Zea mays: one gene and its partner. The protein of the gene in region 1 interacts with the protein of each later gene in a pairwise test. Links are inferred from orthologs where the notes say so. Each region holds a gene or a part of one and is shown on either strand. Other genes may lie near its edges.

Region 1 (4,020 bases):
CACGAGACAGGCTAGCACGAAACTTAAAGCGCCGCGAGCCAGGCCCGGCAGAAACGCATCGCGCGGCCGCACGCGCGCGGCCAGGCTCCGCTCAGCCAGCTCTTTACTCGTGCACGCATATCGAGACACGTTTTTAATTGGTTTTTTCATTATATCGTCTAATTAAAAGATTTAATCACCGAACCGATTTCATATCCGCGTTCCTGACATTTTTGCGAACGAAACTAGACCACTCATACTATATATATTTCAAATAAAAAAATTACTTGATTAAGATTAATATATAATTAGTGTATATTAACATGTAATTAGTATCTATTAAGCAATTTACCATATAATTAGTGTCTATTAATAGATTTTTTAATTTATTTAACAATTTTTTTAACTCATGCACCATGTACTCATGCAAGCAACCAAACAACATCTCTTGTGAACCAGACTGGCCACATACACACAACCAAACACGCTATACTGCATGCACTCAGCCAGTCCAGTCTGAGCCAGGCTCACTAGATACGAGTCAGGCTCACCCATACAAGTAACCAAACGCCCCCAAGGGACTCGCTCTTCTGCGGATGGTGCCACGGTGGACCGCTACACGCGCCAACCTCGGCACCCCATGGACTGCAGCTCCGGCAACCTTGCACCCCTTCCACCGTCTTTTCGTCCGTGCCACGGTTCCGCTTCCGGTCACCGACGGTCAAACCTCTCCCTTTCAAGTCACATATATGGCCCGCGGGCATCTCTTCTTCCTCCAATCCCTCGTCGCCGGCCACCCGTGACATGTTGACACAAAATTTCTTGTTTTTATGACTAGAAGCATGTAATTTTTTGTTTGTTTGATTGAATAAGCCAATTTCTATTTTATAATATAATTATATGAATGCTCATGTTTGTGGTTGTTTTAATATCCACTGGCTCATAAGCTTATTGACCTGCCAAACGAGTCGAGCCGAGTAAATCTTTTAGCTCGTTATAATAACAAGCCATCACGTCGACGACCCGATGTCTAGCCTACCCACAGCTGACAGCACGCAAGGAATCACGGCCATCCATCACTGTCGCGCAGTTATCGTCCGTCTCCCCACCAACGTCATTATTCATCCGTCCCGTCCCGTCCCGTGTGGCCTGTCCTTGTGTGGTGCCGGGTGCGTTGCCTTCTTCATCCTCGCACACGGCAGGCACGTGACCGACACCCCCAGCGCACGAACTCCAAAATAGCGAGCCGAAGGGGGCCACGACCACGAGTCCTCCACCTCCCTCTCCGCCGCGTCGCACGCGCTTGACGCGCGCCGAGAGCCGAATCGGAGCCACGAGGCAGCCGCCCCGGGCGGATCGATCCTAGGGCCAGGGCATGGGCGGAGGGGACGCCGACGCCGGCGGCGAGCCCGCGGACGCGCAGGCCACGCTCCACATCCGGTGCACCAACGGCTCCAAGTTCACCGTGCGGACCGACCTGGGCGCCACCGTCGGGGCGTTTAAGGCGATCGTCGCCCACAGCTGCGACGTGCCGGCGCCGCAGCAGCGGCTGATCTACAAGGGCCGGATCTTGAAGGACGAGCAAACCCTAGCCAGCTACGGTGCGTGCTTTCCCCTATCATCCTGAGAGTGCTCTACCCTTGGTGGTGTGTGGTTTCCCGTGTTACGCTGTGGGCTGTGGTCGATTTGGTTAGTCATGCGTGCGGCCTGCGATGTTGCACTTTAGATTCTCCCTTGCTTGTGTACTAGATGCAATGTCTGTTAATATATTTGCTGCCGGAAAGACAAGGAGGTTTGCTCCTTGGCGATGATGGTCATGGATGATTCCGTACATTCGGAATGCTCCGTGGTAGGTGCAGTGTGTACTACTACTTAGCGCAGGCTCGCACGTTGGTTGGCAGTTTACAATAGCAAAGACGCAGTAGGAGAGAACTACGTGCTGCTTAGATTCCTTGGCATAAATGTAGTTCTGAATATGCTGAAGCCATGTGTATACTGCACCCTTGCTGCGTGGTTACTGGTTAGGGTAGTAGAGTTTGTCAGCAGGTGACTGCAACTTCTGCATTCCATAATGTATATATGCTGATACCACGGTGGCATCTTAGTGATCTGTGACTTGGAAGGATCAACATTTCTATTTTGAGTTCTTACTCATAGTTTAAGGCCCCATTTGAATGCATTAGGGCTAATAGTTAGCTGGCTAAAAAGTTGCTAGTATTAGCTAACTAAACGGGTGTTTGAATGCACTAGAGCTAATGTTAGTTGGCTAAAAAGTTACTAGTGAAATTAGCTAACTAATAAATAGCTAACTAACTATTACCTACTTTACTAAGAATAGCTAATAGCTGAACTATTAGCTAGGGTGTTTGGATGTCTCCGGCTAATTTTAGCCGCTAACAATTAGCTCTAGTGCATTCAAACACCCCCTAACAAATAGTTGGCTAACTATTAGCTAATTTTAGCTGGGTTGAACCAACTAGCAACTAATGGGTAGTTGAGAATGTAGCTAATAGTTACCTGGACTACTAGCTGGGGTGTTTGGATGTCTCAAACTAAGAGGGTGTTTGAATGCACTAGAGCTAATAGTTAGCTAAAAATATACTAGTAGAATTAGCTAGCTAACAAATAGTTAGCTAACTACTAGCTAATTACTAAAAATAGCTAATAGTTGAACTATTAGATAGGGTGTTTGGATGTCTTTAGCTAGTTTTAGCCACTAACTATTATCTCTAGTGCATTCAAACACCCCCTAAAAGTAGCTAATAGCTAACTATTAGTTGGGTTGTTTGGATGTCTAGCTAATTTTAGCAGTTAACTATTAGCTCTAGTACATTCAAAAAGGGCCTTGCATTGGTAACAAACGCTTCTTGTCAACGCTTTTTATCGTGACCACATGTCAGCGGTAAGCATTAGCCTTACTTTTGATGTATTTTAAGGGGTGTTTGGTTTCTAGGGACTAATTTTTAGTCCCTCCATTTTATTCCATTTTAGTGTCCCTAAATTGCCAAATACGGAAACTAATAGATTTTTAGTTTCCGTATTTGGCAATTTAGGGACTAAAATGGAATAATATAGAGGGACTAAAAATTAGTCCCTAGAAACCAAACACCCTTTAGATGCAAACACGAACTATTCTTTCTATTTAGGGGGCATTATTCACGTGTTCAATCTCCGTAAACAGAATGGTTCAATATGAAATGGAAAAGATATATCTGAAAGATATCACAGCCTCAATGCTTTACAAATTTGATCTATGCCCATCGAAACTTTTTGTACACAACCTATTTTTATCTGCACCCACAAATACCTGATCATATTTAAATGGTTTGTCTTGATGTTACTGTTATAAATTGCGCTCTCAATGACAACATTTAAAACTTCTGATATATAGAGAGAACTTGTCTATGTTTCATACAGCAGGTTTAGAAGCGTTTGATCTTGTACATCAGACATACTGTTGTTTTTTTTGCTAACACAATAGATTATGTAGGGTTTTCATGTTGCATTTCTGATTCACCAGCAATTCATGTTCAGTAAACCAGCAGTTTGAATCTTTTGTAGAATCCTCATTTGTCAAAGCTGAGGTAGACTGTTACCACTTGCCAAATAGTACTAGCCAAACATGAAACTTAAATTTGTTTATGATGCATAACTGAGTTCTTTGGTAGAACATCAAATATCAACAGTGGGGATTTTATTATGTTTTTTTTTTGTGTTTTTATTTACACCTATAGATTTTGATCTCACTTGCAAAGGAACTTCTGAATTTTGTTAGTTTGGCGATGGAAACACTTTCGTGTCTGAATCGTAGCATTTTTTATATTTTGATTTGGCAAGCTGTTGCCTGATTTAGGAGCTTCACCAAGCAGTGCTCCCTTATTCTGTTTTTGTTATCCCTTGTGACCTTATATTGTATCTTTTTAAAGGTGTGGAGACAGACCATACAATCCACATGGTACGTGGTGCTGTGCTATCACCAACATCTACTGCACCTGCAGCCAACCAAGAACCTACCACTGCTGCTCCTGCCAGTTCCCCGGC
Region 2 (4,300 bases), on another chromosome or scaffold:
ATCCAGGGGCGGCAAGCGCCGCTAGGGTTTCGTGCCCAACAAGGCGGCGGTGATGGCAGGTCCAGCGAGGCGTGGGAACGGAGTCTTGGGGAGGTCCAGAGCGAGGGAGAGGGTGCGCCCGACGGCGGAGGTGGAGGCGGAGGGAGGGAGCGGTTGCCAGCGTGCGGAGGAGAACTGCGAACGGGAGGGGGCAGAGGGAGCTTCGCGTGGACGGGGAAGGGGCAGACGGGAGGCGACGCACGCACGACGGCTGACGGGCGACGCACGCAAAACAACGATGTGGGATGGACGGTGGAGATTGAGGATCGGCAGAACGGCAGAACGTAAGGGAGGCAGACTACTCTTACCTTCTTAATAAGTAGTACATATTTGTCTCATGGTGTTCCAGGGTCCAAGGATAAAGATATTATCAATATTTCTAGAGAAAGAGAAAGTAAAGTCACATCTTCAGTCTATGCAGGCTGTTTATTCAGTTTATTCAGTTTCAGTCAATAAGGCTTAGCTTGTAGTGTGTGTGGTCTGAAGCTTGCATGTGCATGTAGAGACTGTTTCTTCGACTTGTGCAGACTGTGCAGTTTTCAACTTGTTTCTTCAGTTGTTTAAGATTGTGCAGACATGTGCTCGTCTCTACTTTGTCAAAAAAAGATAGCGTTATTCAGACTGCAGTTTTCAGCTTGTTTGTTGATTGGGTTTATTCAGTTTTCAGTTTTGAGATAGCGTTATTCAGTTTTCAGTTTTTAGATAGTGTTATTCAGTTTTCAGTTTTCAGATTATTATGGAATAAACGAACAAATATTTGTTGATTGAGTTTAGGGATTGAATTCCTCAATGGATTGGGTGGAAAGCTTGATTCATCCAAACCATATATGAAAAAAATACAGCCCCATAAAATTCCTATGGTGCCGAACAGGGCCAAGATTCTGTTAAGACTGGGTTGGGAATTTACTTGTGCTATAGGCCCTGTTTGGCACAACTTATTTTCAGCTTATTCACAAATTTAAGCCGAAGTTCTGCCAAACAGATAGCTTCTGCAGCAGCTTATCAGTTCAGCTGCTTCTCCAAATGAACTAAAAGCAATAAGCAGAAGCTGCTTTTTACCAGCTTATCAGATAAGCTGCTTTTTCAACAAGCAGCAGCTGTACCAAACAGGGCCATAATAGCTTCCCCACGTGAGAGATGCCCAAGGAATGTCTTCTTTGTTGAAGAATTTGTAAACATACATGATAGATAAATTAGAATACCATATGTCTCATTATATTTCGTGCCCATGGTCTTATTGGATAATCTTATCAGGGCTAATTTAGAAAATCTATTTTCTCAACGAAATTCTATTTTTCCAAAAAAATTAGTTTATATTTTAAAAAAATAGAAATCACTTGGAAAAAAATATAGTTCTCAAACAGATTCCCTTATGCCCTCAACAGATTCCCTTTTTTCAACAGTTTTTTTTGAGGCAGACAACATGCACCCCCCCACCCCGCACCCAACCCCACAAAAAAAAAGGCCGTGTAAAAAAGGGAAAAAGAAAAAACCAGAGCAACGCAGCCGCAGGCTGGGTGAGCGGCGCGGGTCTTCGTCGGCCGGCCCCTTCACCGGTGGCGAGCATCCACCAGACCACCAGGTACGCCCCCACTCCTTTCGCTTCCCTGTGCGGAACCGAGGCACCCCAAATCTAAATCTACACTTTCCGATTCGCAACCGTTACATGCATATTATACCCAGTAATTACAATTTCACCCCTCCAAACAGTGGATGCGCCCCTGCCCCCCATGCCCCAGGTCGAGTCGGCCACTGCCTCGGAGGCGCCGCCGCCGCAGGACGCATGGCTCGTCGAGCTCGGCAGTCGCCTCCCGCAGTGGGAGTCGCTGCGGGATTCCTCCAAGGTACAGTCTACAGATGCCCCTGTTTTCTCCCATCCTAGGGTTTGTTCTGCTGTATGGTAGCGCTTTGAGATGCCACATAATTTCTAAGTTCTACGTGATGTGAGGTGCTGGAGATGGAGACTCGAAATCCCTCGCAAGCATATGGGATTTTAGTTTCCCCGAGGGCGAGGTCAACTAATTTGATTATTGCTAATTGTCGCTAGATTTTCTGTTCTGGGTATGGTTTTGCTTATGTAGATAGGTATGGAATGTCTCAAGCACTCGGAGGCATTATTTAGTTGTGAATTATGATGGTTGTTAATTCTGGTGTTGCTGCTGGCTCCTGGTTCTTCATTTTACTAACATGAAAAGGCTTAGAGGTTCTTAAGTAAAACAAGTTTTGCGATTGTCTGTCAGAACAGGCAGTGGCGGACCCAGGATTTCTTCAAGTCTAGGCAAATCGAGAACTAGGCAAGACAATGATGCTTGCAGTTGCAGGCCCTGAGAACAAGCATGATGCTTGCAGTTGCAGGCACCTAGCGCACTTAGGGGGTGTTTGGTTCCCAACTACTAAACTTTAGAACTTTTAGTCCCTAAAATAGGCAAATAGCAAACAGGGTGAGTAAAATAGCTCTTCCAAATAGGATTTATAGGGACTATAGTTTAGTCCCTAAAGTTTAGTAGGGTGACTAAAGGAACCAAACACCCCCTTAATTTGGGATGTAATGCCATTTTTTTTCTTACGCAGGTCATTATCCCGATTTCAATATCTAGGGTGAACCAGTTTGATGCTGCAAGGCTAGATGTTGAGATGTCGGCCATGTTGAAAGAGCAGCTAGTCAAAGTGTTCTCTTTGATGAAGGTGCTTGCTTTATTAACTTTGCTGATTTTTGTGTTGTTTGAGGCTTGCATAGAACTTAAGTGTGCTGCTAACTGTTGCTTTCAGTTTTGATGCCTTCTTTTCATATCAGCCAGGACTCTTATTCCAATATGAGCCTGAACTTGATGCTTTCCTTGAGTTCCTCATCTGGAGGTTCTCAATTTGGGCTGACAAGCCTACCCCTGGCAATGCACTGATGAACCTGAGGTACAGAGATGAGCGGGCAGCACCCATCACTGGAAAAGAAGGTATCTCTATCAAAGTTTATTTCAATATTTTTCTGACAGCCACTACCAGGGGGCATAGGAACTAGGATGTGCATCACTGCATTGTTTTTCTTACTGCTGCACACAATTAGAAAGTTACTAGTTTATCTCATAATCTGTTAGTTCGTTATTACTCATGATTAGTTGAGTATCTTTATTATTGTAAAAAAGTTGCATATGTTTAATATTCTTTGTTTATGGATATGCTCCTTAGTATTCATGTCTTCCACCATCTACATAAAAGATAGGACTGTCACAATGTATCCTTTATGTTCAAACAATGAAAATGGCTAACCATCTGCATTCTCTTGTCTAAAGTTTTCTTCATCTATGTCCATCCTCTTATGTTCAAGTGTCTCTTCCCCTCAATATGCACCCTTTTGCTCCCCTTATCATATTTACATGAACACATCAAATTACAGCTTGGTTGGAGCTTTTTTTTTGCATTGCATGCTATAGGCATTCTCATTGCCTTTATAAAAGCAAAAGTTGAAGTTAACTCTGCAATTGAACTGGATCACGCCTTTGTAATCTTATACACATTAGCTCATTTGTAACATTCCCAGGAGTTTATTTGCTACCGCTTTGTGTTGTTGGCTACTGATATGTAGATGAGTATTATCTGAGCAACATCTAATGGGTTCCATTTGCTTTTCAGTTAGAACAGGTTTGGAAGGACCTGGGCTTTCTGTTTCTCAAAAGATATTTTATTGTATTAGCTTTGTTGGTGGCCAATATGTATGGTCACGATTACAATCTTTTTCTGCTTTCCGTCGATGGGGCGATTCTGAACAGGTTAACCCTGACTCCTTCCTGAAAACTTACAATTATAGTTCACTGGTTTTAGTATAACTTAATATTAATTTTTCTATTTCATGATGTAGAGACCACTAGCTCGCCGTGCTTGGGCGTTGATGCGGAATGCTGAAGTATTTTATAGGGCTGCTTCATTCTTTAACCTATTATTGTTTCTTTATGGTGGAAGGTACCTTCCTATTCCTGTTTAATTATGGTCCTTTCTTGTATCATGAGGATGGTAGAAATTATCATTAATTATCATGGCTGTAGCCGGTGGTGCCTAGTTTAGCAAAGTTAACTATCTATCTGGAGATTAAATATTGCCAACATGTGCAGCATATACTGTCCACTGATAGGAAATTGACCAATGACAGTGTATTTGAATGAGCTAGATCAGCATGATTTGTGGGAAAATCGAAAGCTGCTCTTTTTTAATAGATTATCATCCTGTTCAATTTGTAGTTATTATGAAATTTATATGACACATGATTTTC

Evidence for each region.
Region 2: the proteins of Ubiquitin domain-containing protein DSK2a (region 1) and peroxisome assembly factor 1 interact in binary tests that used the Arabidopsis thaliana proteins (3 or more experiments, as listed by UniProt). The link is inferred for Zea mays from reciprocal best matches to the Arabidopsis thaliana genes AT2G17190 and TED3.

What each region holds. Positions count from the first base shown.
Region 1 is NC_050104.1:158,047,956-158,051,975, reverse strand, and holds the start of Ubiquitin domain-containing protein DSK2a, read left to right. Parts: upstream 1-1,210; 5' UTR 1,211-1,354; coding exon 1,355-1,580; intron 1,581-3,905; coding exon 3,906-4,020. UniProt on the Arabidopsis thaliana protein: Binds and presumably selects ubiquitin-conjugates for destruction. Prefers multiubiquitin chains rather than single ubiquitins, with a binding affinity for 'Lys-48'-linked ubiquitin chains.
Region 2 is NC_050096.1:176,258,542-176,262,841, forward strand, and holds the start of peroxisome assembly factor 1, read left to right. Parts: upstream 1-1,488; 5' UTR 1,489-1,621; intron 1,622-1,654; exon of another isoform or gene 1,655-1,749; 5' UTR 1,750-1,769; coding exon 1,770-1,883; intron 1,884-2,610; coding exon 2,611-2,724; intron 2,725-2,833; coding exon 2,834-2,990; intron 2,991-3,666; coding exon 3,667-3,803; intron 3,804-3,892; coding exon 3,893-3,993; intron 3,994-4,300. UniProt on the Arabidopsis thaliana protein: E3 ubiquitin-protein ligase component of a retrotranslocation channel required for peroxisome organization by mediating export of the PEX5 receptor from peroxisomes to the cytosol, thereby promoting PEX5 recycling.